Drosophila melanogaster: one gene and its partners. The protein of the gene in region 1 purifies or fractionates together with the protein of each later gene. This does not show direct contact. Each region holds a gene or a part of one and is shown on either strand. Other genes may lie near its edges.

Evidence for each region.
Region 2: the proteins of dgt1 (region 1) and MBD-R2 purify together in Drosophila melanogaster (affinity purification with western blotting, with the first as the bait; one study listed by BioGRID). This does not show direct contact.
Region 3: the proteins of dgt1 (region 1) and Rcd1 purify together in Drosophila melanogaster (affinity purification with western blotting; 2 studies listed by BioGRID). This does not show direct contact.

Annotation. Positions count from the first base shown.
Region 1 is NT_033777.3:29,852,407-29,862,342, reverse strand, and holds dgt1 (dim gamma-tubulin 1), read left to right. Parts: upstream 1-4,851; 5' UTR 4,852-4,945; coding exon 4,946-5,456; intron 5,457-5,509; coding exon 5,510-5,702; intron 5,703-5,768; coding exon 5,769-5,932; intron 5,933-5,989; coding exon 5,990-6,390; coding exon of another isoform or gene 6,391-6,399; exon of another isoform or gene 6,400-6,694; coding exon 6,695-7,195; 3' UTR 7,196-7,213; intron 7,214-7,299; coding exon of another isoform or gene 7,300-7,485; 3' UTR 7,486-7,648; downstream 7,649-9,936. Other genes in the region: RpS8 (ribosomal protein S8), read right to left, coding at 38-144, 409-412; CG15514 (uncharacterized protein), read left to right, coding at 989-1,636, 1,708-1,989; CG7824 (uncharacterized protein), read left to right, coding at 3,472-3,568, 3,625-4,586; Cad99C (cadherin 99C), read right to left, coding at 8,035-8,170, 8,236-8,961, 9,031-9,149, 9,215-9,742, 9,812-9,936.
Region 2 is NT_033777.3:12,349,460-12,360,866, forward strand, and holds MBD-R2 (MBD-R2), read right to left. Parts: upstream 6,807-11,407; 5' UTR 6,685-6,806; coding exon 5,460-6,684; intron 5,387-5,459; coding exon 4,736-5,386; intron 4,672-4,735; coding exon 4,539-4,671; intron 4,486-4,538; coding exon 3,155-4,485; intron 3,086-3,154; coding exon 2,916-3,085; 3' UTR 2,684-2,915; downstream 1-2,683. Other genes in the region: CG10038 (uncharacterized protein), read right to left, coding at 1-221, 336-523, 736-851, 915-1,044; CG10041 (uncharacterized protein), read right to left, coding at 1,428-1,637, 1,951-2,604; CG4115 (uncharacterized protein), read left to right, coding at 10,671-10,816, 10,878-11,031. UniProt on the Drosophila melanogaster protein: Component of the non-specific lethal (NLS) complex, a multiprotein complex that promotes expression of housekeeping genes on X chromosome and autosomes.
Region 3 is NT_033778.4:14,144,937-14,156,471, forward strand, and holds Rcd1 (reduction in Cnn dots 1), read right to left. Parts: upstream 7,773-11,535; 5' UTR 7,479-7,772; coding exon 7,128-7,478; intron 6,991-7,127; coding exon 6,671-6,990; intron 6,611-6,670; coding exon 6,084-6,610; intron 6,027-6,083; coding exon 5,581-6,026; intron 5,519-5,580; coding exon 5,290-5,518; intron 5,160-5,289; coding exon 5,100-5,159; intron 5,018-5,099; coding exon 4,298-5,017; intron 4,244-4,297; coding exon 3,501-4,243; 3' UTR 3,327-3,500; downstream 1-3,326. Other genes in the region: pea (peanuts), read left to right, coding at 8,313-11,493.

The DNA of each region.
Region 1 (9,936 bases):
ATACACGCCATTGCGATTATCCGGAGATTATCCTTACCTTGGTGTTGGCGGCGGGGCGTCCCAACTCGAACTTGCGCTTCTTGCGGAGCGACTTGCGCTTGCCTCCGGTGGCCCGGCGTTTGTGTGCACTATCGCGGCTAATACCTGGTGATTGAGAAATAGGTCCATGTTAGTACAAGGCGCACGGAAAAGTCGAAAAAAAACCAAGAACATGGGCACGTTTGGGGGCGCACTAAAAAGAGCCGCACCAAGTTAAATTCACGGATATTTATTTAAATTCACACATTCCCCGTTGCTTTTTTCTCGATGCTGTTGTAAACGTACTTTGTGCGCACTTTCATGGTGTTTGCAGGCCGTATTGAGCCCATTTTCTTGATATTTCGACGCAATTTGCGAGAGTCGACTTACCCATGTTCGAGTAAAAAGCGAGAAAGAAAGGAAAAGACACGCACAGCACCTCGTGTCAAAAAAGTAGGGTTATCTTTTTGACAGTTGCCGCGGTTGGGCAACTCTGCGCTGTTAGCGCGCGCTCTACAGTACACTCGGTGCTGTTACATTAATTCAAATATTAATTTTTAGCACCTGGAATCAGTGAAATTTAGTTAAAAATGTATGAAGCAATGTGAAACCAATTATTTTTATGAGCCATAGTGGTAGATTGTATTTACTAATATCTAATTATATTGCTTTACAATTAAGATATATATCAGGACATGTATTTTGGAATACAACAGGAGCACTTATTTAATTATAAACTTAACATTTGAGAATACCACTACTGCTGTCGAAATATATTACCCGTTGAATAAGGTGTGGCCAGCTTGCGTTCGTAACAGCTCGGTAAAATGTTAGCTTGTGGCTTCGCGCACACGGTCACACCCTCATTTTGCACCGAAAATAAAAGCAATTTGATAAATAAACGCGACAATTGCCACCAAATTGGCCAGGAGCAGGCGAAACTGCAACTCCCGGATTTGCGGAAGCAGCTATGGTTGGGAAAAACTTCAAGGCTCTAGCGCACTTCCACCGACTGACCGAGTACATAGTTCAGTGCAAACACTGCGAGAAGACATTGTCCTCCAAACACACATCCTCCAACTTGACGCGCCACTTAATCCGGAACCACAAGCTCTTGGCCCGATCAATTTTTGCCGGCGAGGAGGGTAAGATGCTGGCGGAGCTGAAGGACGAGCTGGAAGCCTCCGCCTCCGAGGACCTGAGCATGGAGCTCGGAGAGGGCGAGACCAAGTCGGCGGTGCGCGGCATCATGAACGCGAAGCTCGAACAAGAGCAGATGGAGCGGCACAGCCAGGAGGAGATGCGCAACAAGGTCATTGGGAAGAACAATAAACTGTGGGCGCACTTTATCCGCATCTCCGAATTCATGGCCAAATGTATGCACTGCGGCAAGACGCTCTCCTCGAAGCACTCGTCCTCCAATCTGATGCGACACATTGTGCGTCGTCACACCAGCCTGGCCAAGACGCTGAATCACTCGCACCAGCACCTCATGACACCCAAGAAGGACTCCTACGCCAGCCTGGAGCGTAGGCAGGCGGCTGATCCCCTGGAGAAAGTCAACTTTGACGATGTGGACAGCATCATCGAAAAGGTGGCCGATCACCTTGAAGAAGAGGTTTGTCCACGGACCACTTCCGCTCCCCTACCCACATTTAGCCTCTACATGCTTTCGATCTTTGATTTAAGGTCACTTCGATTTCGCTGCAGGAACCCTTCTACGAGTACGTTGTGGACAACTCGGACTCCGTGGTGGTGGACAGGTGCGATGAGCCGGAGCCGGCGGAGATGCAGAACATGATTCCGCAGGACAGCGCCTCGCTGGCGGAGTCCACCACACAGCTGGACGAGAAGCTCAAGGCGGAAACGATATACTACAACGAGATGGCCGAGTTGGCCAGGGCCAAGCGGCGGCTCATTGATCTGCAGACCAAAAAGCTTCTCCTGGACATGAACGTAGTGGACAACTAGCCCATCGACGATTGGAACGGCTTGTGTTTGTAGGTGGATAAGGCGGGCAATATGATTATTTACACTTAGGTATGATTATACTTTAAACGATTTTATGATCTGAGCATTTATTGTGCGGGGGATTAATTTCCACGAGGGAAGGGCATAGAAATTGAAAGAGAAGTAATTTGGCCATTGCATGTTATTCTTATGTCCTTTTATTAATTTATATATTATTTGTAAAAAGTGCCGGCTTAAAAGCGATCATTTCAGCTCGTAAATAAACTTCACCGTTACGCTTAGAGTTAGTAACAAACTGTAGCTCAATTATGTGTTATTAATATGCTTAATCTAGGATTCTACTCATTGTAACTAAACGCACATTCAATAGTGAGCACTGTACTTAAACGGTGGGAAATACCGGATATTTGCACTACAAGATTAATAATTATGTTGCGGTCACACTCCTCGATAACTTCCAATATCGAAGTAGGTTGTGTCAGTTATCGCTAGAAAGCAGGCAGAGATTTGTTTACTTCTGCGAAGATTAATTCAGCAGAAGCACGGAAATACGGATCCTTAATCATGACTAGATATTCACGTAAAAACCAGGCCTTGCTTCAACTCCCCGTTCCTTGGAGAACAGGAACGTAAAACCGGCCTATAAGGGTATGTTAGCCGGGTATCTGGTGCACCCACATTATTAAGTTGAGACCCCTCTTAGTTTCCTAGGGCTTGGAACGGAGGGGGAAAGTGATACTTCAAACGTGTCAAGGAGTAGGGTAGAACGCTCTTGATGTGTTCAGCGCAGAGCACCAATCAGTAGCGATCAGCAGCAACGTAAGCGAAACGGACCATCGGACTCAAATGGGAAGAATCACAAACGGAGATGCAGATGCATCTGTCTATTTAGGCCTGGAAGTACAAGGAGTTGATCCAGGACAACCCGACAATGGCCCTGGTAGACGAGCGCCACGCAGACGGCTGCTTGCTCTTCGAAAAGTGGTGTCAGATCGAGGCGAGGCTGGCTCGCATTGTGGCGGATAGACGGGCGGCGGTGCCTCAAGGACCTCACCCGTTGCTTGACTCCTCATTTGTTATTCGAGGACACCGGATGATCAGGTGCTAGGACGGCTTCTCTAAGATCTTCCTAGAGGATTGCATTGAGCAATTAGCCGACGCATGGGATGGACTATGCATTAAGCTTGTTCACGCCAGCGAAATACCCAGTTCAAGTCAAGCGGCCCGTTTTGTTCATCAAGTAAGTAAGAGCTTTTCCTGTTTGTACAAAGACAATACAGTTTATGAAATAAATAAACGATTGAAGGAACGAATTTGGATTGTTTTTAAATTCCGCCCTGGTTTGCGCCACCGCTGATTGTCTATCATGGGTTGCAACCACGTGGAACTACAGTTATTTTTAGGCCTTTTTTCGCGCTTCGATGGTAAACACATTTTGTTTATTGCTTAGCTCTGAGAAACCAAGACGCAATAATTGACAAAATGTCCAGTATTTGGACAAAAAGGAAGGACTCTTTCTGCAATAACGAAAATATAAGGGCTCAGAAGTTCGAGGATGTGATTGTAATCGATGACAATGGTAAGTCGTGTGTTGTCAGCCTTCTCGATGCTAACTGCTACACTTGGTCCTTCAAGATCGTGGCGACTCTCTCCGGAGTGTAAAATCCGAGCCCCCTGAAGAAAAGCCCCGCTTATCTCCACAGGACGCTAATCAAAAACGTGCAGTAAAGGAGGAGAAGGAAATGTCCAGGCGCGCACGCGCTCGAGCCAAGAAAATACGGAATACAGAGGCAAGAGCAGCGAAATCGGTGGTTACCAGGGGTGCGGGTAAAAAAGCAAGGAAGCGTAAGAAGCAAAATAAAGCGGCACTCAAGAAGGCTAGTGAACTTGAACCCAAAAAGGCAAAGGGCTCCAAGGAGGCTAGTGCCCACAAGAAGGCAAAGGGACCCAAGAATACAAGTCCTCCTATGGCTGCGAAGCCCAATTTGGCAAAGAGTGACAACCTGACGATGGCCCTGGTGGACGAGCTCCACGAAGACGGCCGTCTGCTTAACGAAAGGTGGCAGGAGGTCGAGGCCCAGCTGGCGTACATGGTGACTGACAGAGTCATGGCCATGCCGGGGGGTCCCGTCCCGTCCTTCGATAGCTCAGACGTAGTTCGTGGCCACCGAGTGATCCGGTGCGAAGACGGATTTTCAAAGGTATTCCTGTCGGACTGTGTTGCCGCGATTAGCAACTCGTGGCATGACATGCGCATCAAGCTCGTCCATGTCAGCGATGTACCATTTGCGCCTCAGGCGCGCATCTGGTTGCCCACGGGTCAAACGGACCACAACCGGATCATGATCTGCTTGAGAGCCCAGAACCTAAATGTGGACATGTCGGACTGGTCCATCCTCAGGGCGGAGGAAGTCATGGAGATCAGTCAGAGTTTCCTGCTCCTTATCAACCGGAGGTGCATCCCGCAACTGGATGCAGTGGACTACAAGTTGCGCTATGGCATACGAATGGCCCAGATCCAGCTCATTTTAAGCGAAGCAGACGATTTGCCATCGGAGTTCGACAACTACCACCCATTTTGCCATTTTCCCCATTAAACCATAAATCCTCAGGCTCTAAGCTATGTTTATTAGAGTAATAATATTGTTAGAGAAAGAAACGAATTTCATAACCTAATAAATCTCCAATTGGTTTTAGATGCCAACTTAGACAGCATTTTTATCAAATTTAACCTTAATCTTAAGATATTTTTAAATATAGAAACTCAACATGGGAGGTGGGATACCCTCTTTTGGTTCATGGCGATGCTGACTGGTTGGCAAGCGTGACAACGTGTGGGGTATTTATGCTCTACTTTGCTGTGGTCACACTGTTTCCACAGCATTTTATTTCATTTCGCTTCGTCTGAAAAATCAGAGAACAATTTCTAAAAAGCGGCAAAAATCTTGAAAGGACGATGTCCAGCTTTTCGCCAAACCAATTGCGGCAGTGCGCCCGCTTCACCGGCACGCCCTGCACTCCGGACAAGGAGCACCAGCTGCGGGAGCAGATCCACAGCGAGCTGGTCAAGATTAAGTACTGCGCCAATCCCACCTACGAGTGCAGCCTGATGCGGATCGAGGGCTACGAGTATTGCATCCGACACATCCTGCGCGACCCGCGCTCCAACTTCCGACAGTGCTCGCACGTCTACTCGAACGGCAGGAAGTGCATCAACGCGGTGGCCAAGTATGACAACAAGAAGGAGCTGATCCTGACGACCCTCTGCTTCGAGCACAACCGGCAGACGCAGCTGCAGAAGACGCACATGAATGTGGGCCGCATTCGCAGCCGGGTGGAGACCAACGAGACCCTGCTGCACAGCCTCTCATCGCACATTAATGTGGAGGACATAAAGCCAGAGGTGAAAAAGATCGAACGCGATGATGATGAAATCGATGTGGTCTCACCCCACGTGACGCCATTTGGTATGTCTTGCTGACTATAAACCGAGCTGAAATCTAATTTTCCTCACTTCTAGTCACTCAGGATCACCGCAATTCCATAGGACATGTTGTGGAGAGCTCTCGCAAGCGACGTCGCATTTTGGATTATGCTTCCGATAGTTCCAGCAACGATGCAGATCCGCCCTGTCTCAGGAACACCGCCCAGGACATTGAGTTTTACGAATCTGACCATGAGAGTATCGATTCGGAGGATGATGATCCTTTGAAGTAAGATTTGATTTATTCGTAGCACTATTTTTTAAGGAAATTTTAATTTTTTCTTCTCCCTTGTAGACACGCTGGCGTCTTTACACGCGCAGAGGCAGTAAAGATTGCCGAAACGAAGCTGATCAAGCTTCAGGGTCTTTACCGCGAGCAGATTTCATATCTGCAGAACGTGCTGAGGCAGCGACGTCGCAAGTATTTGCACGATATACGACGCGAGCGAGAGCTATATTGTAAGTTTCACTTGCCTTTAGGTATGCAGGATAATGTGTCTTATGCCACACTTTCAGGCAGCATTCACGATCAGCTAAAGGACACGCCACACGAGCGAAAGCTGTACGAGCAGCTAAAGGCGCTGAATAGCTATCATCGACGCCAGGGCGTCGAGGCGGTGCTCTACAAGAAACTGAAGGAGAAGCGAGCTCGCGACGCCTTGTACGCAGCCAAGTCGTCGAGCAACCCGAAGTGCGTCTTCACCGAAGGCGGTGTCAAGTGTGGTGAGCGAACGCTGCCCTGCTGCAAGCACTGCCGCAAGCACATTCTGGAGGATAAGCGCCAGGTGCTGTTCCGAGCCTGCGGCGTGGAGCGGAGTGGGGTGGTCTGCCAGGAGCCAGTGGCTAGCATTCTCGAAGACTCCAGTTGCGTACTGCACCTGACCGTGGCGCCGGCTAAGCGCCAGTATATACAAAAGGTGCGTTGATCAAACACTAACCCAACCCACGCCATAACCACCACAAGTAACTGCTTATATATTCCAACTGTCCACTCACCCATTGCCATAAGTTGTGTTGCACATGACTGCTGAAACTATAGTAAGCCAACTGTAAGACAGTTCGAACAAACAATACTGCGTAACTAGTATTTAGGCTTGATTTGTAGTAAAGCTAAGTATATCTAGAGAAACAACACGAAACACATGTATATAAGTGCTAGTACTGTCTAAGCAAGCCCTTTGTGATCGACCCTGAATAAATTGCCGACCTCTCATCCCCCAGTTTTATGAAGTTCCCAGCACTCCGCCGGTAGAAAGTATTTTCGCAGCAGGCCGTGGTCTCGATAACTTTGTCGGAGAAGACCCACGGAATGAGCCGCAGCCGGAGGGGGATGACCTCTTGGATTTTGCCAATGGTATATTCGATTTTGACCTTGACGGAGTTGACGATCTGGCAAACTCCCTCGACGATGATTACTCCATGTTCCTGGACATGGACAGTGACCTGGGCTTAGCCATTGAAGATGACGGTGTGGAGAGCGATCCTGTAGACTTAGGCCTCGAGGAGGAGGGCGATGGCGGGTCCAACGACTCAGTTGGTCCAGCTGAAAGTCAGGCTCAAGATAACCTCATCGCAGACAACTTTGAGTTAGAAGAACCATCCGTGCAAGACAATAACGAACTTAACTTTGATATCGACGAGTCGGAGAGCAATGTGAACGAAGTGTTGCGCTTGCTCGAGGGCATAGAACACATGCCCTGGTTCGATGCCCTCATGAACTAGTCTAATAGCGTAGTAAACGTAATAACCCACCATACTAACCCAAATCCAGAAAAAAGCCCAAAGTATCTCTTCTTCTCATGCTTGCAATTCCCTTTACTTCACAGAAATGCGAATCGGAGACCGAGGAGGAGGAGACCCAGTCCACCAGCTTGATTAGCACCATAAAAAAGGAGGAGGAGGACCCCTCGGATAAGCTGTATACGAGTCAAGCCCTCAACGTGACCACCGCACATGGCGAAGACAACAAGGGCGACGTGAAGCCCAGGGAGTACGCCCCAAACAGATCTTAAACTAATTTTTAAGCCCTCGTAGATTAAATGTTTACTGTTGCAATCATAGAAACCTAGATATAAATCTCCGACACGAAAATGTCAGTTGGTTTTGTACTCAGCCATTGTAGTTTTTGGTGCATTCGGGTGTAAGGAACCCCTAATAAATAGGCACTCTTAAGTTAAAAATCTATTTATTTACATTTATTGGCTTTCCATAGTTTATACAACTTAAACAGTTTATATTAATGCATGTACATGTTTTCAACAATTCCTAAAGAAAACGACTGCGTCTGGCAGTTTCGTAAGTGTGTGGGAAGTATGCACTCTGCGTTCGCTTAAATATAATGACTGTAATTATTTGATCTTAAGCACGGTTAAATATATTAGTTATCAGTTCCTCCATTCTGCATCTCCGCTCAGGTATTTACAGATTGCTCGTGCTATGATCATAAATTGATGGCAACCGCTCTCGTTGTTAAAATGCACTATTAAAATTACAAATTGGCAGCTAAGTATATTAACAAGTCTGTAAAATGTATCGAAACCAGAATATTCCTAGTGTATTCCCTACAGTTCCGTAGTTGTTTCCACCTCCGACCTATCCAGATCGTTTAGATATGAGAACCCTATTTGGCCATAGTCCCTCTTCCCGAAGGACACGTTCTCATTGGTGCTGCTCAGGTGGTTGTGATCGGAATTGGATCTGCAGGATAGAGGGTGTTACCAATTATAGTTATAGTTATAAACTAGGAAGTAAGCTATGCATACCTTTGAAACAGCGGGTTGGTGATGGGCACCTCTCCGCCGTACAGGCGATTGTTGAGCTGGCCATTCCGACCCAGCGTGGCGTTCATCAGCTCCCCGTTGCCATTGAGCAATCCCACGTCGCCGAAGGTGTTTCCCCGCCTGCCCATGGTGCTGTAGGCATTGTTCTTGGCATGGGCCATGTTGTTGGGCCCAGTTGGGTCTATGTTGTAGGCGCCGTTCTGGTAGTGGTTGCTGTTCTGGTGCTTGATGCGGCCCAAAGTCAGGGTGCCCGAGAGGGCTCCGTTCGGCGGAGATGCCAGCGGATTGGCGTTGTTGCGGGTGTTCATCTCCAGGGTTCTATTGAAGGTGTTCTGCCTGTTGTTGATGGCCAGATTGTTGTTCATGCTGGCGTTATTGAGATTCTTATGGCGGCGCAGAGTGGCAATCGTGGCCGTGGTGGCATCCGAGTGGGAGGGACTGGACTGGCCACCGCCGTTGGTGTTCTCCTTGTGCGTTATGTAGCTAACATTGTCCAGCGAGAAGGCATGGTTCTTGGCACTAAAGTCCAGCTGCAGATCATCGTCCACATCCGGTGGCACTGCCATGGCCAGCATCTGGGTCTCGTACTCCTTCATGTTGGCTATGGTTTCGCTGGCACTCGAGGCCTGCTGGTTAACGATCACGGGATCGTAGCGGGGAGGATTCGTGGAGGAGTACTGGCGCATCCGCTGCTTGAAGTTCTTGTACCTATAAAGAGCAAGTGTGTATGCAAAGATTTAAGTAAAAGTAAATAGAGGTTACATGTTATCCACTCACTTTGACCAAGAGATGCATATGTAAATGATGCCAATCGTGCCCAGGATGAGTATAACAAGTGATATGGCAATCAGAGTGAAGGGGAAGACTTCGTTGTCGATGGCTACGGCGGCTTTGACCTGGAAGTGCCAAAGCTATATATAGTATATCCTAAGAAAAAGTAGTAGTAGAATTAGTTGCCCACCTTGTGAACGTGCTCCTTCCTCTCCAGGGGAAACGATATATTCTCGGCTGTGGCTCGCGGCAGGGCTATGTTCAGCTCCGATCGCGCAGCCGGTTCCAGTAAAGTGGTCTCCACAATGCTGTCCTTACGGCTGACGAGCTGCTCCGTCTTGGGATCGATGAGGTAGAACCATATGTCCGTAGCAGCCGGGTTCTCGATCACCGATCCGTTCTTGGCCAGGTACTTCTGGCTGCTCATCCGTTCAATGCCGCTGACCAGGCCGGTCTTCTTGTCCAGCAGCTCCTCCAGCTCCGTGTAGTAGTTGCGGAGATCGCTGGGCGCTGCATTCGGGAAGGATAGCGCCATGCGGTTGATGTCCGCCAGCTTATTGACCACTATCCTGGCCCTCGTGCGATGGGATCCCTGCTCCTGGCCATCGCTATCACGGGCTTCCACCAAAAAGGTGAGTGGAAAGTCGTTTTCGTTCTTGAAGTGCTTGGCAGTTCGTAGAACTCCAGTGTCTTCGGACATCATGAAGAAGCTGGTGGGCTGGAAACATCATATGATAATTATCAAAAAAAAAAATTCATTGCCTAATGTAGAGTATAGATTTCTCACCATGTTAACCCGGTTTTCATCGTCGTCGTAGAGAGTGTAGCGAACGGTTCCAAATTTCCCCGAATCACGATCTGTGGCTCGCACCTGCAAAATGGTTGTGTCAACATCCATTTCCTCCGTCACCA
Region 2 (11,407 bases), about 18 Mb from region 1:
CAATGGCCACACTCTCGGGTTTCGCGGGCAATACAATATTCTTCCACACATATTTAACGTGCTCTACGGACGTATTGACGCCCTTGATGGGATTCTCCTTACCATTGTAGAATCGTGTGCAATCGTTGGCATTGGTGATGAGGAGATCGTATCCCAGTTTTTGGGCCTGTCGCACATAAGGCAGCTGGGTACCGTGGTCCAAGGAATTGTTAATAATTAAACTATAACAAAATTAAATATGTAAGTATTTGTATTTGTATGTTAATATCATTTGTATTGGTATTCAGGTATTTTTATCATTTCTATTATTTGGTTTAAATAGTGAACATACACACCTTCTGGCCCACTGTCCGGCTTTAACGTATCCACTGCCATGGATGAGGACTAGCAACTTTTTGGACTGCGACAGCTTTGCCGGTTGCGAGAATACAAACGAAGACCGCTCTGGAGGCTGGTCAAAAGGGATGTAGGTGCGACTAAGACCGTTTTTCTCCAGCAAAGCGTAGACAATTTCTGGGATTTGCTATGGGCGATAAAGGATACAGTATTTGTATAAGCTTATTCCTACCCACGTGGGCATATGTAATAATATTTGTGGAAAGGAATTGTGTGGTCTAGTTTCTCTTGAAGAGGATTCGTCCTAGGTGTGGATTCCTTGACATCAAGGAAACCTAATAGATTATAGTTTTCGGCAGAAGATATTCATGTGCAATGTGGGTTGAATGCGGTACATACGTTGGCTAGCTTCTGGTAGTGCTTCTCGTTTTCGGCGGCGTCGTCGCTGACGTTGTAGGAAAAGAGTTCCTTGCCAGGCTCCCCAGTGGCGGGATCGACTTTGCGCAGCACTCCTTCTGCAGGAGGCAAACGGGAAGATCATATTGTCAAGTAGCGACTTTGTGCAACATTCTACTTACCTCCATCGAATGCATATCCAAAGTTTTTCAGCTGGATGAGAGCCTCCTCGCAATTGCTAGCCGGCGGCGGTGAGTGCGACATTCGAAAACTTCTGAGGGGTCGAAATATTTGAATAAGCCTAGACCACATTACAATCGGTCGCGTGGCTTCCACACGGTTCGGCACTTACGTAGTAATAGAGCGATTGGAAAAAGCTTTTATTTATATAGAATTGTTGTTCGAGTTTTTGTTTTGATTTTTCATATGAACGCCGAACTAGGGATGGAATAAGCGCGCCACCTACTGGCCGCAAGCTCACATCGTCTAAGCGATAGGTATCGATAGCGAGGTCAGAGCACCAATTCACACCAAAACGCATCACTGCCAAAAAAAATCCCCATAATATTCGTTATAAATTAAATTTTATTAAATAACATTTTTTAATATAATATTGATCCTTTCCTGATGATTAATCATTGTCTTTTAATTGTAACCCTAGATAGAAAAGATCATACATATTTCTGTAAAACCTGCTATAACCCATCTTTCCATACAGTGCGATTAATTTGTAAGACTTTTAATCTCGCAGCCATAGAGTCCATGGATTCCTGAATCCAGCTGGAGTATGCGTTGATGCGAGTGAAGGCATAGGGTTTTAATGGGGTGCAGGCTTTTCGACCGTAGGAAAGTAATCCGTACAGCTTCTCTTTTGCCACATTCATCAAGGGAGCTCCAGAATCTCCCTGAAATGTAAAATTAAAATAACTCTTATTTAACTGATATAAAAATTATTTTATAGCATTGGTGTTTGTTCCTGGTAAGAAATTATAGGACTTCTATAAATAATATCCTAAATACCTCTTAAAAATTGCTACGTATTGCAAACCAAGGAATTTGACTGGAATATGTTTTCTAGTTTCAAATTTTATAATGATTAAATATTTGAAATGTACCTATATGTAGTTTGTTTAATTTAATTGGAAAACATATTCTTTGTTGAAAAAATTTTAATTGATTTTCGATTATGAATTTCTGGCGTATTTCTGATCCACTTACGTCGCAGGGACCTCGCGGTCCTTTCAAATGCATCGCACAGATGTCAAGCGGTTTGAGGAAAACGAAGCGATGGCTTTGCTGGCACTCATCGTTCTCCATGGTCAAGAAGGGCATCTCCTGGAGTTTTCTTATCTTGCCGACGCCAACCCGACCCCAGCCAACCAGCGAGGCCTGGGTGCCACTATCCCTTTGAGGCTTTCCAGCAAAGTTAATGCTACGAAATCGCACATCGTCGAGCGGGAATTTGGGGTAAATCCTCAACACGGCAATGTCGTTGCCGCCGAGCACCCTAAACTGGGGATGCCATCTTCTTTCCACGACGAAGAAGCGGGTCTGCTTCCGGCTGTTCAGCGAATCGGCGCCACCAGCCACGTACAGTTGTTTGGTTGGATTCGTTTGGATGCAGTGGGCTGCACTGAGCACGAACTCATTCGAAAGTATAACGCCCACGCAAAGGTGCTTGTAGTATCCTTTAAGGTTCTCTCCTATGGAGACGATGTATGGATAACGAGGGCGGAAACTTATCACCTTCGTGGTCGACACAGTTGTGGCTAACAAAGGTGTGCTATTCTGCGGGGTGTCGGAAAGCGTCTCCTGGGCTGCCGACATCGCGGCGAACCAAGCTATGGAGCAAAGAGATTGCCAACAACACATAACTGCGACCAAGTCACGAATACAAAGACGTCACAAAGACGTCTTGTAGTCAGGTTTTATCATCAAGCATCTTAACTTTATAATTGGGCATGAAATTATAATTTTCTGTATTCTCACATGGTTAACTTTAAAAGAATATACATTTAAATTCCATTATATTATCAAACTTTATAAAGTATAGCAATATTTTTTTTGAAGAGAAAAAGCTTGTACGGTTACTATCTACACGTCTGCAAAATTATGGAAACAGTTCGAAAATAGCTTAAAAGAAAATCCTCATTAGACCCCTATAACCGTGATCAATAGAAATGCTACTTGCTAGTGGCAGAATCTCTGAGGGTCTGCTTCATATTGGCCACCTGGTTGAGCTTGGCAAGGCGCTTCATGGTTTCGAGCTCCTTAATAAACGTGGCCAGCGCCTCTTTTGTGGTCGAGATGTCAGCGTCCTTTAAGTCATCCAACGTGTCCTCCTTTTCAAGTTCTAAAAGAAATTCAAAAATATATATAGATTCATATATACTCGTGACAAAAATTAGTTTTGGATACTAACCGTCCATTTCGGCTTCTATGTCATTCAGCCGATCGAGAACCAAGGATTGCTGCACCTTGATATGCTCGATCAAACGGTACTGGCACTCCTCCGGATCGATGGCAGCTTCCGGTTGCGGAACGTTCGGAAGGTCGGGGGCCTCCAATTTTGCACGCTTAACCGGTGTCAACGCAGTAGAGTCCAGATTGTCTTCGTCCCACTTTTTGGCCCATAGATAAAGCTTCGGATGACAGCGGTTGCGTGCGATGTTAATCTTCACCAGCAGCGAGTGCATCGATCGCTTGGCATCTAGCAAATTGCCGGTCAGCGTGTGCGAGCGCTTCAAGAGCTCGAATTGTTTGGTGGCCTGTGGATTTGCAGTGTGATACGCGGCCACCGGCAACTTGCCTTCGAATAGCCAGTCCTGGTCGTGCTTAAATCTCATAGAATCCCGACCCCTCTGCGGATTGCGACAAATGTAGCACACATACTTGTCCGGTACATCTGCCTCTTTGACAATTCCGTTGCATGCACCGTGTTGCCAGCATAGGCACAATTCACATTGGATCATTAGGCCGTCCTCTTCGCCATACTCGCAGATGCAGTTAATGATCTCCTCCTGCCGCATGCGCACAATTCGAATTAGTTCACCATTTTCCTTGATGTACTGTGGTGCTTTGCTTAACGTTTCAGCTGGTGGTGGGGCAAGGGCTGCATTTATGTCGGTCTGGTCATTAGATGATGGCGTGGACACCGAATCTCCCATGGCTGGTGAGTCAATGGAACTGATGGGAGTTGTTGCCGCACCACTGCGGCGTTTTTTCGAGTCGATGCGCGTATCCGGAGTGGGGGTGTTAAAAGATTGCCGTGTCTCCTCAACATCTTGTTCGGTTAAGCCATGACCAGCCGGGTTATCTGACAAAATGGGACGACGCTGAGAGCGCTGGCGGTTACTCTTTCGCGAGCCAGATGGCCGCTTCGACGGCGACAAGCGTGCACGCTTGCAGGAACGACTCAATGAAGGATTAAACGACTGAGTTGGACCAGCATCCAGAGAAACATCTTCTTGTTTAATGCCACTTTCAACAGTTGGCGACACACTTGGTGGCTCCATCTTAGGAGATAACAGGGCCTTAGTAGGCGTTATGTCAGATGGCGTTGAAGATGTGGCCGTAGCTGATACACTCTGTCGTTTAAACGATCGTGACTGCTGCAAATCCTGCTGGTGCATTTTGGCAAAGAATTGCTGGTTGGGTATTTGGTTTTTTGGCACCGCCTCAACTTGATCGATGGATGAGGGGTGCGTACGTTTGACCGCTAGTTCCTGCATCTTTGGACAGTGGCTGACGTGTCTGTAGATTTAAAGTAAGTTAGGTGTCATGAGTTTTGAATGAATATTACTCACTCTGCAAACTCCTTGTGATAATGGCGAATGTGGATTAGCAGAAAGTCTTCTTTGCGATAGGTCTTGGCGCAATCTTCGCGCGGGCATACATAAAGATTGTCTTGGATTTTGACTTTTAGGCCCCCAATGAAAGCTGAAATATGGAATTATAATTTATTTTAATATAGCACATGTTATTTCAAATTGCATATACTTACCAAAGCCATTTTCCACCACATGAGGATCTGCTAACATAAGCTGAGAGGTACCTCCCTCACTGGCTTCCAGTATTTCTGCTTCTATCTTGGGCTTTGTCTCATCGGCAGGCTGCGTCTGCGGCGACATTAACTCAGCTGGTGGCATAAGCGAGGCCACCGGTGCTTCCATGTACTGGCTTTCTTTCACCGGCATCGGAGTAGAAGGTAAAGAATGTTGCGACGTGATGCTCTGGTCCAGCGTGGAGTTCATCGACACATCCATGGGCCTGGGCTTGGGCGGTGGCTGCGGATTGTAGCCGTGTGTGTAGACGTAAGCATTGATGTCTTTGGCACGACGTCGATGGATGCTAAAGTCGTACACATCCGGGTTGTAGACCAGATTCTGGGACTCAAGGAACAACTTCAAGTCGGACTTGGAGCGGAAACGTTTGCCGCTGGGCGAGACCAGAATAACATCCCACTTGCCGAGGACGTTGGACCGCTGGTACATGTGCTTGATCCAGCCAGGAGGCAGACGCCAATCCTGCACGATAACAGTGGGTTTCTGGTGCTCGCCCACAATCAGAAAACCCTCGGTTCCAATAGGCTGGTCATTTACCCAATGACAAGTCCACTCGCCGTCATGCGGTATTTCTGGGAGTCCAAGGGATGCTGTTGGTTACGAAAGTCAAACATGAAAGTTAAGTTTAAGGCAAAACTAACATTCTCCTTTCGGTGCTCTTACCTATATCCAAACTGGCCATGTCCAGCAACGGCCAATCCCTGCGCTGAGGTGCACATTTGCTCTTCTTGCTGCCCGAAGAGCCACTGGATCCGCCAAGGCTGCCTGTGCTCGCCCGCTTCGGAGCCACAGGTGCAGAGCTTACTGGAGTTCCAACAGGAGTGGGTGACTTTGAGGCACCCTCTTCCGCTACCTGAACAGGGGGCAACTGCTTGGGCATCTTGTTCATGTGCACGGCGCGCACGTTCTTAACGTAACCATCGTCGAAGAGAACCTCGTAGGTATCGTTGCCCAGCAACTTGCGTATGGTTCCTGGAAACTTACGCGGCCCCGACCAGCGGGCCATGCACTTCTCGTCCAGCTCAAAGACGGGCAGCACACGGTTGCTGAGGCGCTGCCTCAGCCGCTCCGACTTGATGGCCATCCACTCCTGAAAGCTGCCGCTGGTCGAAGGTGACACCTTTAGCTTGTGATTGCGCTCAAAGCGCACGAGTAGCGTCTGCTCCGTCTCGTTAACTTCCACGATGCGGGCGGGCAACCAGTTGCCTTCCACACTGAGCGCCTCCAAACGGGCGCCAATAGTCAGGTTATGTGGGTTGCTGTACTTGGGCGGTGTGCCGGGCAAAGGTGAGTTCGAACTGGAAGCGGATCCAGGAGCTGGGACTGTGGCTTCGCTGCTTGCGGCTACCGGAGTCCCTGAGGGTTCCTTTGCAGCTGCCTTGTTTGCATCTTCTCCACTTTCGGGAGTATTTTTAACGTCATCCGCCGCCTTGCCTGTTTTACCTTCCTCCGTGGCCTTGCGTTCTGCAGATTCCGACAGGATTTGCGCAACTATTTGGTCTACCGTAGCTTTGATCACATCGTCATTGGTCGATGACTGAGCATTTCCCGGGGTTTCAGTCGTTCCCTCCACGCTGGCGTGCTGAAGTGCCCGTTGGTCTGCTTCGATCTCCGCGGTATCCATCTTGCCCCATGGAAAAACGGTGGGAAAGACGCGCGGCTTGAGCAGATACTTCCCATTGCGGATAGTGTTGAAGTCCAAACGGCGGAAGTGGCGTGAGCAGACCAGCACGCTCTTGGTGATCTGGCGCTCCAGGCTGATGCGAGAGTTTTTGATCCATATGGCGCGGATGATGGGATCTAGGGGGAAGGAGTGGTAAGTCACGCCGTTGTGCTCCAACAGACGCGACGTCGACGGGCAGTTGGCCACGCAGCACCGGCGGCCCATGGCGATGAAGTTCACCCAATTCTCTATTTTGTTTGCCTATGTGCAAACGCACACTTTGCTAAGTGATGAAATAATCCAGGAAACGACGCGAAAATTATCCAGAAAAATACAGCGCAATAAATTAGTGATACCAAATTGGGGTACAGTAAAAACGTGTGCGTCGGCAAACTATCGATAGTTAGATATTGCCACCTTGTTGGAAAAGTTCAAAACTATTTAACGATATTTTTTGAATTTTATAAAAAATAAATTTTAAATGACTTTATTGCATAGATCTTTATTGTGGTGATAAATAAATACTACTTTCGATAAATAAATAAATATTACTTTAGAGCCTGAGTAGGTTGAATTTAATTACTTTTTATTTCTGACTATCTCAATTTTCATGAAACTTTACATCAATCTTCCTGCCATAAATTAACTATTAAAGTTGGTAAATACCCGCTGCACAATTAATATTAATCGGTGCGTTAATGCATTTTAGCGAAGTGAGGGTGCCATAAATTTCCTCAGCTCGGCGGAAAAAGGATCACGTGCCGATACGCCACCGTTCCCAAGGCCACCGAAAGCCTATTTGAAATGCAATTAATGTACGCTTTTGGGCTTACATGTCACCACGTTCGCCAAAAGGCAGACACCTTGCAAAAAGCTAACCAAATACGATATTATCCATTCGACAAATGCTTCTGGAAATATGTATTTCAACACTGGGTTTCAAAGTTTGAGGAGCAGCTATTTACGCATACTGCTAAAATAAACACTCATTGTAGTTTTTAATTACAATATTTCACCCGGTCATTAGCATGCAAGAAACAACTGACAAATTTAAATGTGGCGCCTGCTGCTTGATCGGTTGATTGAGCCGCCAAAAAAATCGATTGAAGTATGGAGCTTTGGCCTTCAAATCGAAATATGTGAGGAAAATGTGATGGCACATTTTGAAAGAATAAAATATTAAGATTCTCTATATTGTGTCAATATCTTATGTATATATGTGGCTTGACCCCTCGAATTCCGTAACTAAACAGTTTAGTTCCATTACAAATATTGTTTTAGAATGATAGCCGGAAACTCACGGTCGAAGAGCTTCCTGTTTTTGGGTACTTCCCTGAAAACGAGGTCTCTGGGTCAATCGGTTGACTTTTAGATCTTGGGCGTGTTTGCGAAATTGACACGGAGCCAATATCAAATGGTGTTGACTTTGATTCAGTGGATTGCCAATATTTGTAATCAAATCACGGCTGGAGCATAAAGCAAACTTTAATTATAAAATGCTTTTATTGTCATATGCAGCTGACATAAATATTAAATAACGTGAGTAATTGACGTTGCTAAGCCGAATAATTTAGCATTTTATAAATTTTGGTCAGTCAAAAACTGACATTGAGGGGGCCACTCGAAGGGAAATCCAAAATGGGTGGTAAACACGGTTAGATTTCCGTTTGCATAACTATTAGTGAACATATTTGCATAAATTATCGACACTCGATGAAATTGGGACGACTGCACCTGACCTCACTCTCTTTTTGTGCAAATAATTCAACAATATGTAACCTGTGCAAAAATATTTTTCAAAAACAGAAAACCGAAAACAGAAATATGTACAAGGAGAGTACAAAACTTTTGGTCCAACTGACGGCGGCACTTTCTCCTTTAATATTTACCCAACTCATCGACAAATTGGCCAGGCCCATTCCCCAGCCTCATCTCATCGGTCCCAGCCGCATAGCCCATAAGTCAGCCCCTTCTCCCTCTCCCTCTCCCGATCCCGATCCCCATTCCGATACCGTCTGGGAACTCATTGCGTAAATATGAGGGCATGCAATGCGGTAATAGGCTGGCTGCGCGTCTCTTGACAGTTGGGCCCAGTTTCCCGGTTCCTTATCACATGATTATTACCCAAAAATATTATCGCTAAATGATGATGATCATTTTGGGCTTGAGAGTGCCCACGGGAATTCATGTAACGCCGAGTAGCTCACACAAATTAAATAAATTATGCTTGCCCGAAAGACATGGCTTAAGCAAATACACGTGTTGACCATGTAAATGGGTTGCCTAATTTATTATAATTTTTATTGCTCTTTGTCGTTCAGCATTGCACGCCGGTCATTTGAAATTTGAAATTTAATATGTGGAATTTTTTCAATGCTAGCAATTGGGATTTTTCCAAACTCTGTGTACAATATATTGAAATAATTTTACTTAACACCCACCTCTGTGGCATAGTTTAATAATAATCGATACAAATATTTTGCTAAATATTATAGAAATTTCTGAGAAATGGGCGCGGCTGGCCCAGCAGCATCCAGCATAATCCGCCCAAAGTGTCCAACGAGATACATGTGTCAGGTAATGAGCGGCACCTGCCTTCGTGTAACTTTTGCCGTTTTACCGATTGCCATAAAGTGCGATTTAACAGATACCTTTGCTTTTTCAAAAACCGCCATTTTTTGGTTTCGGCTGTGTTCGGTCGACATGCTCAACTGCACGTGAGTTGAAGATGTAAAAATAAAGAAAATAACGCGCGGAGGAGACAAAACTTATCGAGGCGATCATGTTGAAATGCGTGAATTGAGCTTGGGTTTTGGGTTTTTGGGTTTTCGGGTTTGCTCGGCTTACTCTTCACTTTCAACTGGTGAAATTTTCGTACTCATCGGGGCTGACCTTGATCTGGGTCCCAAGCTGTGGAGAAAATAATGTAGATGGGCATCATTTCTTATGCTTATGCAATGGCAAGTGTGTTTGGGTATATCTTCTGGCTATTTATGGCCGGCATTATGTAACGTTTGGCAGCTCATTTAAAATTATAAGTACGATTAGTTGTTATATAGGTGCGTATTTAATGTAGCCACAGAACTTATTGATTAATAAGTGACCTTTACATTTCAATTATGTCGATTTCAATCGACATAAATTGTTGGTCAACACATCAGTTGAGATTATGCAATGAGCAAAGCGACAAAAGCACTGGCAAATACATACATTTCTGAGACGAAGCAAACAATAGCGTAAAATGCATTTATTTATGCAAAGAGACAGGAGACGCAGCACACAAAAAAAGTTCGAAATTTCCGTGCCAAAAACGATTTTGGCTCAAGTGGTGTCGTGTTTGTGAAGCTAATTAGATGGGAGTTAGCCCAATCCATTCAACGGCCATTCAAAGCGAAGTGGTGCAAAATGATGCGCAAGCCAAAGAAACGCCACCCATCGCCCACCGATCGTCCCCCCCTCCCCTTTTTTTGCACCACTTTGGCCACTTATCATTCACGGTTGCTGGTTAAACAGCCACTGAAGATTAGGCCATTCTCCCCGTGCTCCAATTTATAAATGGGTTACAGATTGCTCTTAAAATATATACATACATAGGTGCAAATTCACGAGTATCTACTTAAATCAAAAATTCTAGCAAGTCGCTAGAATTCTACTAATCTACTAATCTTAACATTTAAGTTTTTAGCTTAAAATACTTCTGGCCTAACCATTTTCCAATCTATTCAAAACATTTAAAAGGAATTTTTCAAAATGAATCAATCTCTAAATTTATTGCCTCTGTAGTACAGGGTATTCAAATTTCGACTTGCATACAATCAGCTCCGTTGATTGTTACAATGTTTCTCACACTAAAAATCCTGAAAATAAAAAGTTAAATTAAAAGAAAGTATATGGTTTTTATAAAGAAAAAAGAAGTGTTCAACAGTAGGACTTCATGGAATAAACATTTTCGAGTGTAGTACTGCCGCCAAACCAAAAAAAAAGCCCCACCACTCATTCTCTCTTTTTGGGGTACGGCGCTCTCATCGAATTGAGTGGATGGATCGATGCGACTCTCGGTTCGTATATAAGGCGGGGTTCCCCAATGCTTTTGACATTCCAGTTGATCAGTGCCAGCCGATCGGTCGGTAGAGAGAAGTGCGTCGCGAGTCCAAAAAAGAAAATCGAGCCCGCAGAAAGTGCCAGTGAATAGACTGATAAAGCAAACAAAAATGAAAGCTTTCATTATCGCCGGAGTGTGCGTGTTGAGCGTGCTGAGCCTGGGATCCGCTCAGTTCCAGAACGGACGTCTGGAGCCGCCGAATCCGCAGCTCTGTGCCCAGCGTGTCATTCACGAGAAGACTCCCGATGGCAAGGGGTGAGTCAGCAGGATATGCTCACCAAAACATAAACTATAGGGTTTGCTTCTCTCCCCGCAGTTACTTCTTCTCGTGGCGCGACCCTCAGCTGAAGGGCGTGGAGGAGGACTGGCTGACCGCCAGGAACTACTGCCGCAGGCGCTGCATGGACTCCGTTTCCCTGGAGACCAGTTTGGAGAACGAGTGGATCAAGCAGTATGTTGTGCGCGAGAATGTAAGTACAAATTTCAGGGGCTATAACGATGAAAATAAATTAAGGCAAGAAATGATAAGAGAAATCGAAAGACTTAGGAAACGAACTCAAGTATAGGTGTTGTCATGAATAGCACACAAATGCGCACACGCAAAGCTAATCTTTTATCTCAACTTTCATAAATATTTACTCCGAAAATGTTGAGTCTATAAATGGATTGTCCCAAGTCAATAAATTAAACCTTACGTAAGTCCCACTTATGATATTGGAACCATGTCCAAACTAATAAATTGATCTGAACTTCAATGCACCTGTTTGTTAAACATTTAAGCATTGATAGATCAAACAAATGACCGAAAATACCATTGAAATGTGCAACTCATTCACTATGTATATG
Region 3 (11,535 bases), on another chromosome or scaffold:
CTTCTGCCACCGTTGTGTCTCCTTTAACGTGGCAAACTTTTGGCCAACACAATTCCCGCCAGACATCCATGAGATGGAATAAGACTCAAGGAACGGTGGGTGGCGACAGGTGAGCGAAGAGGCGACAAAATACCATAATGCAAAGTCAGTTTCCTGGCAGTTTCACGAAACTTTTAGTAAGTCGTTTTAGCTGGACAATGACAAGAGAACTTTTTTTAATTTTACAACCAACAGAAACTAGAAATAAACTATAATATAGTCCGCAAAAACATATAAAATGCATTAAAAACTTCAAAACAAATGACAGTAGATATGAAATTAACCAGTTTTTATTGCTTTTTAAGTTAACTAATCCATAAAAATAAACACCTTTAATCAGCGTTACCTTAAATAATCGTTTCACTTCGTGTTGCTTGTAATTTCAGGTATGTTCCACTACGTCACATCACATGAACTATTCGAATTCAAAAGACGCAAAATGAAACTAATCTCGGCATGGAGGATTTGTCAACTACCAAATCCGGATCAGTGTCACCTGTGTCTTTTCATCACGTGACTGCAAGGTAGTGGCCGATTCCCAAAATCTTTGTACTTAAATAAAATGCTGGAAAATATAAATATTTCATACAAACTATCTCGAGTACCAAGAAATCGTAATTTAAAAAGACCTACAAAATAAGTATATAATTTAAAAAGCAAAATCCTGTTTAAAAGGTAACATGAAATTAAGGCTACACTAAAATGACATCTTGCTGCACCTGAAGTCGGTAATAAAAAATGGCAGACAGATAAAAATTTGCGAAAAAAGCACAGAATTTCTTGTCCACTTTTTCCTTTCTGGCGCAATCAATTTTTTGGCGTAATCAAGCTGCTCCTGTTTTTCCTCCTGCTGATTTTCCTTCTTTTCCGGCGAGTGTTTGCCCTGGAAAATATTGAAAGTGCCAGACACACATTGAATAAATGGAGGAGCACAGATGGAGTGGGTGGAAAATGGGCGGAATGGAGTTCGCCAGTTTGCAATGTAAGTGGCATTCGCCATTTTCCTCCCGCTTTTCCACCGCTCACTTTCACATCATTTGCATGTTATTAAGCGTTATTTAATGGGCAACTTCGTTGAGAGAAGGGTGGGGGGGGGGGTGCATTTGTAAGGGCAACTATCAGGATTTTGCACCCACTCTCATTTTCCTTCTGCCCGGAATATGCGAAATCAAAAGTGCAGCTTTTCCACCCACTTTTCGCACAGCTTTTCGCTCGAATAACCGAGCTTATTAGTATTTGTGCAGGGGATTTGTGTGAAGGATTTGCGGTGTCCTTTACCAGGATGTTGAATTTCCCCAAAAAAAAAGGGAATGGAATGGAAAAAGTTGAGTGAAGCACGACGAATTTAATGAAAGGATTTGGAAGCCGAGTTTTATTACTAGGATTACAGTTTTAGCAGCATAGTTAAAGAGTTTTTGCTCTTTGTATTTTGTATTTTGAGTAATGCATAAATCTGAAATTTATACGCAATTTGATTTTAAGAACATTTACTACATAAGAATATGAATTTTTAATTTGAAAGCCATAAATTAAAGTTGAACAGTCTGGTTATCAAAAGGCCACCAAATGTGCAACAATCTTGCCGCCGAAATTAGGCTAAACACAAAATAATAATAATAAGCCATAAACAAACGCACATGCTGGCTGCTGCTGGCCCAGTGGGTTTCTGGTCCGACAAATTGCCACAAATTAAGACCAGAGTGAATACAAAAAAAAAAAGCGAAACCAAAGTTAAGGTATGGGCCAAATGCTCCCGGCAGGTGGTAAGCGAAGCGAGACTGCAACCGAAATTGCATTGCGAATGCAACCAGCAGCCGGCTAAAGACATTTTTAAATCAAATTCGATTTGGGTCTTGGCATTTTGGCGATTTACTGTGCCTGCGAATCGCCCGGCTGACTCTCCACATAATTTTCCAATTGCGTAAGTCGCTGGGAAATGATCAGGAAAATATTCAAGATTTTTTTTTGTCACATGAAAAATGGTGCAAAAATCGTAGGAGATATTTTAACTTGCCTACATATATGCAAATTTCACTTTTAACTCATAAAATTAATTTGAATTTGCCAAAAGTAGTGGGTAAAAAAGTTTTTTTTTTTGTTTGTGTTAAAACAACCGTAGAATGCACTTGTTTTTAATCACCCAATTAAATCCTTTTGTTTGCACTGTATTATCCTTGAAAACTCTGGTTGAACCAACCAATTGGATCCTTTCAGTATCCTTGCAGCTTTACTTTGTAATCCTTGACGATCTGCTCGTGATCACGTTTGTCGCGCTACTGAAGTTCCAAGCACTTCGAAATGTCCGTATTACCCTTGACGCCTCAAAAATACAGTGCTATACATAATTGTGTTTCTATATATCTACACGATTTCGGACTGTACATACAATGTAATAAAATATATGACTGGATACTAAAGCAAATAAGAAATCACAAGTAAAACTCAAAATCTGCGCAAGCGGCATTCGGGATCCGCGAAAATGTTCTTTGGCTTTTGAGAGAGCTTCACTTTGCAATTTGCTGACTAGTCAAAAAGTGCACTTAACCCTTTAGGTCCAAAAAAAAAAAACGGTTTATTAAATGTAAATATTAAATTAAATTCTTTTATGATTATTATTGTATCGTGATTATGTATCGTTCAAATAATAGCAATTTTTTAAGAGCACTTTAATACCAAAATATTAAATATTGTTAAAATACCGACAAAAACAATAATAGGAGATATGAGATTTTAAATTAGTTTTCTGCATAAATATACATCATATATTAGAATATACCTCAAATGGGTTAAAGTGTACTGCACAAACTAAAGAGGCATTTAACAAGAAACCCACATATATATATTTAGATATATATATATATACAAGTATGTGTAGGACCATCCATACACTTGCCCGCGAAACTTCAATGAAACTCTAGACTTTTTTCCAAGCTGCCGGCAGTGAGCTGCGAATTGCAATTCTAAGCAAAATATCGGTCATCAGAATACAGTTTTACCAGCACTGGTCGCAGAGCAGCCGTGTGAACACACTTGTGGTTTCATAAATGGCAGAGAAATCTTGGACTAACGCACTTCGAGCCGAAGCATTTGAATACATTTCCCACGCCGCTGCTGCTTCCTGTACTGCTCCGTCGCTTTTCAGCAATTGCACCCATGTATGCATAAGGTTTGTACATAGGACCGGGGAACCATTATATGGTAACCCAAATCCCAGACATGGAATTTGCACAGGTTTGCAAGCGAAGCGTTCTCCGAATTCCCAGAACTTAAATAAAAATAAACTTTTTGTCGACTTTTTTTTATTTGTTCTTTATATGAACGAAATTATAATCCTTGACATTGAGGAAAGAGGGTAATTCAAGACCCCTTAATCACTAATTAATTAATGGCTTAACATATTTACACAGATATCGGCTAAGTACGAAAATGTATCAGGCACGCAATTAAAACATTGTCCAATTCTACATTTTATTATGGGTTAAAGTAGCAGCTATCGACGATGATGTTGTCGACGTGGCCGTCACCTTGGAAACGGGCCCAATGTTTACCACTCGCCGCAAGCCAGGAGATCCAGAAGATGCCGATGCGGTTGACGAAATGACGGCGCCACCCGGTATTCGATTGCCTAGCATCTGCACTGGCAACTGCTTGAGTCCGGTTGCCGATTTAAAGTAGATATTTCGTACAGAACCTTTGCCGTCGCCAGCAACAGTTTTGGATGCACCAGGTGCGGTATTGATCATCTGGAGGTAGCTCTTGGTGCCCACGTTGCCCGCTTGACGGATGGTGCCTTGAGCCAGAACGGAACCAGTAGGCTTGATTGTCTGCACATTGACGGTCTTGGCAACCTTGGATCCTGTGGCTGGATCAACCATAATGGGACTACTGGAAGCTGTGGTCGTCACTGCACCTCCGGTGTTTGGGGTGCTCACAATCCTTATAGGGACACGATGAGTACCAGGCGCCACATTTCCCATTGGCTTAATTGTACTCCGGTTGAGGTACACAACTTTATTCTGAGTGGCAAGTGTTCCACCGGGCGATGAATTTAGCAATTGCTGAAGGCCTTTGTTAAGCACAATATTCCCCGGCTTGCTGACGGCAGTAATGCTGCCACTGGTAACCATGCCCGAGGGCTTATTTGCCTCCTTAATGATTTTCTGACTGATGATCAACGGGCTCTTATTCGCACTTCGAATGGGGGCTGCGAAAAATGTTTAATTAAAATCTAGTATATAAACCATAACACTTAACGCACCTGGTTTAATATCCTTATCCGCCTGTTGGTGCTCGGGAATATTGCCTTCGTTATCGGCAAAAACAATGGGCATATCGATAATGTTGGACAAATCCATATTCGCAGAGCCGCTGCTAGAACCTGTAGTGGGTACGCTCTTGGTGAGATGCAGCATGGTCATGCCGTTGGCGTTCTTAAAAACTGTGTACTTTTTCTGTCCCGTTCCTGTTGATGTCGATGAACCAGCGGCACCTGTTGATGTGGCTGCTGTTGCAAACTGCTGCGTTTGTCCCGAGGGCGTTTTTAAGGTGATGATCTGCTGGCCACTAACGGATGAGCATGGTAGGGTCTTCACCACGCTGCCAATGTTGGCGGTGCTGCTTGTCCCGACACTCGGTTTGTTTAGCGTGTAGTTAATGAGTTTGCTCTGTGACGGTAGCGATTTGATTTGAACGAACTGGCTGGATGGGATCATCTTAATCTTGGTGCCAGCTGCGAGATTGACGGGCGGCAGTTGTTTTCCCAAAACACCGGGAGTTATCACCTTTGGCAGGCTCGCTGAACCACCTGCAGTGGTTTGGGCATCTCCATAGTCCTGGGCATCATCTAGTATGAATTCAATGGATTGGTTAGGTTCTTCGCCGCTCAGTTTTGGTTGGTCGGGATGAGGTGCACCTTTTTGGCTAACAGAGCGTGCCGAGCCACCGACATTGGGAAGGGGGCGTGTTCGGGGTCTTCCAACTGAGGGGGTAAGAATGTTAGTTTATGAATCGGGCGAGCCAAACAACAAGTGGCAGTAGAGGAAGACCCGAGATGAATTTACCCTTTCGCTTCACAGCAAACGGATCAATGAGGCGCGGTGGCTTCGGCTTGTGGACGCGATCTTCGTCGAAGGAACAATTTTGATTGGGAACGTTATGGTTAAGTGGTTAGTGATTAAACATGCGGGATGGATGGTAGGATGATAAGGTTATGGCGATTTAATGGTCTAATTTTGGAAAACTGATACTTACTGTGAGGAACAAACTTTGTTTTGGAAGGCTGACCCATTGAGTCGTCTAAACCACCGTCCATCTTTCGCTTACGCATCTGCTGAACAGCCTTGTTTGCGTTTCCATCGGCCAGGATGTGAGGTGACTGCTTTGGCAGTCGCTGGTAGCCCTGCTGATGCATTAAACATGTGGGCATACGCGGTCCAGGTGGATTGCTTAGCGTTCTGTTCACAAACTCAAAGATTTCCTCCTGCAATTTATATCATAAGTAAATACAGTATTTTCATTACAAATATTCTATTTTGAACTTACGACAACCATGTAATCAACCATCGACTGTGTAACGCCTTCTATTCGCCGCTTGCTCTTAGGCACACGCAGTGCATCATCTGCACTACCCACTACGACCAACGAAGATTCGGACTGCATTCGTTCGCGTAACCCTTCCATTTCCTCCTGACTTGTGCGTGCGGAATTTTGTCCGATGACAAAGAGTATCGGCGCTTTTATGTCCAACATGCGGTCATCGGGGGTTCCGCGTGGCCCACGTATTGTGTTGTAAGCAAATCCCATGCAAACCACACAGGCAACGCTCTCCGATAGAGCAACCTGTAGAGCCAAGGCAGCTCCAGCATTAAATCCAACGAGTATGATGCCACGACTGGGGTTTTCTGTGCGCAATTCGTTGATTTTGACGCGTGTGATAGACACAATGGTTTCGGCCACATGGTCCAGATTCTGATTCCCAATTCTGTTGTCTATAAAAGTGAAATGGTTAAATAAGATAATCTAGATAGCTCTGCTAGTAAACCTACTTGTATTCGGCAGCGAAATCTGAACCACCTGAGTGATAGTAGATAATGCCTGGTACCACTTCTGCATGCGGTCCGAAACTGTTCCAGTTGTCGGCATGTTGGGCAGCACCACCATGATGGCGTTATGCGTTAGCTGACGGGACTTGGGCATGATATTTGGTTCCCATCGTTTTTTCATCACCGGTGCCAGCAGTTCCTGACTATTATTTAAGGGCCTACCAAACAGCATCTTGTCCACTAAAGTGGGCAACTTGGTCTTCAGAGTCTGAAGAATTTCCAGATAAGAGGCCATATACGAAGGCGACAAGTGCTCCATGAGCAGAGCATGGATCCACTGCGTAATGCGTGACTCCCAAGCCACGCTGGCTAGAAGTTTGCGAAACCTGGACGCGGATTTGTCCGAGCTTATGCGACGATGGATAGGCTCGTGCTGACGTTTGTCGTTGGCCAAGCGTGCCAACTGATCCTGGTCCAGAATTGAGCAGACCTTCTCGAAAACCATCTCCTGCATGGGCGTCCAATTAAATCTGTGTGGTGGGAGATGTTGAATGGTAAAGCTTTTCTATTGACTAAGGTCGAGAACTTACTTATTAACGCGCGCCACCCAATCTTGCTCATCCGAATTGTTGTTCTTTACGTATTTTGCAATACGAGCGCATTCATTCATTGCCTCCTTGGCGACTACCTCATCATAGGGCGGCACATGGGCCTGCTGAATCTCTGACAGCTCCTCGTGCTGCGGCGGATATGTGTGGCAACTGGGACACTGTGGCGGATGGCGGACCAGAATGTTCCTAGCGGGCGTTAGGCCGTTGTGAACATCGCTGCGCACTGGCGTATCTCGCATATAGCTGTGCTCCATTTTCTCGCTAAAGGAGGATTCACTAGGGGCCGAAATGGTACTGGACTAAAGGATAAAAGCATTAATTAGTGTTTAATACCGACAAGAAGGTACATTAGTGAGGTGAGTGATTCGGTTGGGGATCTTAGGGCGCATGCAGTGCTGGTTAGTGGGTGATATGATGCCTTTAGTTTAAACATTACACTCTCTGTTGGCGTGCAGGGCGATGTAACGACCAGGGCGGGCGACTTAGCCATCGGCGGCCCCTTTGGCGGAGAACTGACTTTGATGCAACCCGACATGGAGGCAGCGCTGCCCAGGGAGCCAGCCTTTACCACATAATAAGCGGCACTGGATCCGCCCATTGGTAAATTGTTTGTTTTTGTTGCGGTTGTCGCCGCCGACGTTGCTGTTGTTGTGTGTGTATGTGTGCTGTATGTCGTTCTGCCTGTTCCAACGCTAGTCAGAAATTTGCTGGGACTGTAGGTTATAATCGAGCCTCTGGCCTCTGAGGTCTGCGGCTGATTTTTGCTGACACTTCCCGATTCCTTCATAGTTAATTTTTAATAATTAATAATGCGTTAACTGGGTACCCCCAAATTGATGTTCTTCTTCTTTTCTACGTCGTTGTCGCGCTTGCGATGGTAAGAAACAGCTGGGAATGCCACAAGGCGCTAGCCTACGGCCCAATCAAAGGTCACTCGCGATTCGCACTGATATTAACCAATTTTACCAGCAATTCTTATTGATTTTCTGGTATTTCCTAGTACACAACTGCGAATTTTCTTTCTAGCAAAATATGGCGTGCCAAACGTGGCCTTGCCACATCTAACAGTAGAACTTTAGTCCGGCAACACCGCGGCTACCCCGAACCTCACGCCCCGCGCTGATAATTATTCTATTTCACAACAAAACGCCAACGAAACGAATATATTTGATGTGGGGCAAGTGGAGCAATTACTCCTTTATTCAGGATGTTACTTACACTCTCGCTGGGCGTGGGGGTGGTTGGCGGCATTAGCTCTATGACGCCGTCCAGTTCCTGGTCCGCGATTTTCTGTTCCTGCTCCTGGGACACATTCTGCACTAAGTTGCCGCCGCTCTGCAGAAAATCATTGAAGCAATCGAAGAACGAAGACATATTTCGATGTATCTTTAATTAAAATAGAGATTGTTTTTAGTTTTGACAACAAAAACGCGACGAAATTAAGCGTAGCGTCAGAAACCGAGTGATTGGGGCTAGTGCTGCCACCTCGTTCCGTTGTTTTTACGCGCCTGGCAACACCATTGCGTGCAGAAACAGCTGATCACGTTTAGTTTCAGCGGGAAATTTTCTAAAATTTCCACAAATTTTGTAAATTTTAGCTGAACTAGTACTCTCCGTAGGCATGGACGAGCTGCAGAAGTTGGAGTACCTTTCGCTGGTCTCGAAGATTTGCACTGAGCTAGACAACCACTTGGGCATCAACGACAAGGACCTGGCCGAGTTTATCATCGATTTAGAAAACAAAAATCGCACATATGACACATTTCGCAAGGCTTTGCTGGATAATGGCGCCGAATTCCCAGACTCCCTGGTCCAGAACCTGCAGCGCATCATTAATCTTATGCGCCCCAGCAGACCTGGCGGCGCTAGCCAGGAGAAAACTGTCGGCGACAAGAAGGAAGACAAGAAATCGCAACTTTTGAAAATGTTTCCCGGCCTCGCTTTGCCCAATGACACCTACAGCAAAAAGGAGGAGAGCGATGACGATGAGAAGGTGAAGGCGAAACCGGAGAAGCATTCCGAAACGCACAAAAAAACCGATATGAGCGATGTGGATGCAGCTATGATGGAGCTGGAAGCGCTGGCCCCTGGCGAGGGTGCCACATTGGTAAGACCACACAAAGAAGTCAGTTCCAGGGACCGCCACAAGCGCCGAAGTAGGGATCGAGACACAAAAAGAAGAAGTAGGTCGCGGGAGGATAGGCACTCTGATCGCCGCAGAAGCAGATCGCGTGACAAGGAACGCCGTCGTCGCAGCAGATCCCGAGACAATCGCCGCAGAAGCAGGTCTCGCGAGGATCGCGATCGTGACAGAGATCGACGCCACAAGAGTTCCAGCTCAAGAGATCACCACGAACGCCGAAGACGAAGCCGATCTCGTTCCACAGAACGGAGAGATAGGAGAGATCGTTCGAGGGACTGCAGTGAAAAGATGCCCCCACCATCTGCCGCCATGACCGATGATCCGGAGGCGGGCAAGATCTATTCCGGCAAGATAGCTAATATTGTACCCTTTGGTTGCTTCGTACAGCTTTTTGGACTGCGGAAACGCTGGGAAGGCTTAGTACACATCTCACAACTAAGAGCAGAAGGACGCGTGACAGATGTAACGGAGGTAGTCACTCGGAATCAGACTGTTAAAGTGAAAGTAATGTCAATAACTGGTCAAAAAGTGTCCTTGTCGATGAAAGAGGTGGATCAGGACTCTGGAAAGGATCTTAATCCACTGTCACACGCGCCAGAAGACGATGAGTCTCTACGAGATCGAAATCCAGATGGCCCCTTTAGCAGCAGCACATCGATGCTGAATTTGCAAGGCAATGGAATGGAAGGTGACGAGCACGAGTCCAGGAAACGTGTGACTAGGATCTCCAGCCCTGAGCGCTGGGAAATCAAGCAAATGATTAGTTCCGGTGTGTTGGACAGAAGTGAGATGCCTGATTTCGACGAGGAAACAGGCTTATTGCCGAAAGACGAAGACGACGAAGCTGATATCGAGATTGAGATTGTGGAAGAGGAGCCACCCTTCCTCTCCGGGCATGGTAGAGCCTTACATGATCTGTCTCCAGTGAGAATTGTAAAGAATCCCGATGGCTCACTGGCTCAAGCTGCCATGATGCAGTCGGCTTTGTCTAAGGAGCGTCGCGAGCAGAAGATGTTGCAGCGTGAACAAGAGATAGAAGCTATGCCAACGAGCCTCAATAAGAACTGGATAGACCCACTGCCGGAGGATGAGAGCCGCAGCCTGGCGGCCAACATGCGAGGAATGGCTGCTGCTCCTCCTGAAGTTCCAGAATGGAAAAAGCATGTCATTGGCGGCAAGAAATCCTCCTTCGGTAAGAAGACTGATCTGACGCTAGTGGAGCAGCGACAGTCGTTGCCCATATACAAACTGCGAGATGATCTGATCAAAGCGGTCACGGACAACCAGATCCTTATTGTGATTGGAGAAACTGGTTCGGGAAAAACCACACAGATCACTCAGTATTTAGGCGAATGTGGATTTACTGCTAGAGGAAAGATTGGCTGCACCCAACCCAGAAGAGTGGCTGCCATGTCGGTGGCCAAGCGTGTGGCGGAGGAGTACGGTTGCAGGTTAGGCCAGGAGGTTGGCTACACCATTCGTTTCGAGGATTGCACCAGTCCGGAAACCATAATTAAGTACATGACTGACGGTATGTTGCTCCGTGAGTGCCTAATGGAGGCGGAGCTAAAAAGTTATTCGGTCATTATGTTGGATGAGGCTCACGAACGGACAATCCATACTGATGTTCTCTTCGGCCTGCTGAAGACAGCCGTGCAAAAGCGACCAGAACTGAAGCTAATTGTCACATCAGCCACCTTGGACGCGGTGAAGTTCTCGCAGTACTTCTTCAAGGCGCCAATCTTCACAATTCCCGGAAGAACCTTCCCCGTGGAGGTTTTATATACCAAGGAACCAGAGACGGACTATTTGGATGCTTCTCTGATTACAGTGATGCAAATCCATTTGCGAGAACCTCCTGGTGACATTCTGCTCTTCCTTACGGGTCAGGAAGAAATCGACACGGCTTGTGAAATTTTGTACGAGCGAATGAAGAGTTTGGGACCGGATGTCCCCGAGCTGATTATCCTGCCGGTGTACTCCGCGTTGCCATCCGAAATGCAGACCCGTATATTTGATCCTGCGCCCGCTGGCAGCCGAAAGGTTGTTATAGCCACCAATATTGCTGAAACTTCACTTACAATCGATGGCATATTCTATGTGGTAGATCCTGGTTTCGTGAAACAGAAGGTGTACAACTCGAAAACGGGCATGGACTCGCTGGTGGTCACTCCCATTTCACAAGCGGCAGCAAAGCAAAGAGCGGGAAGAGCCGGACGTACAGGCCCAGGAAAAACGTACCGTCTCTATACGGAACGTGCGTATCGAGATGAAATGCTGCCCACGCCGGTGCCAGAAATCCAGCGAACCAATTTGGCCACAACAGTACTCCAACTAAAGACAATGGGAATTAACGATCTGCTGCACTTTGATTTCATGGACGCCCCGCCTGTGGAATCGCTGGTGATGGCGCTCGAGCAACTACATTCCCTATCAGCATTGGATGACGAAGGCCTGCTTACTCGACTGGGCAGACGCATGGCGGAGTTTCCCCTCGAGCCGAATCTATCCAAGATGCTTATAATGTCCGTCGCTCTGCAGTGTTCCGATGAGATTTTGACTATTGTTTCGATGCTCAGTGTGCAGAACGTGTTTTACAGGCCAAAGGACAAGCAGGCACTGGCGGATCAGAAAAAGGCCAAATTCAATCAAGCGGAAGGTAAGTCAATCCTTATCATATTAATGAAACATTTCCTAACGA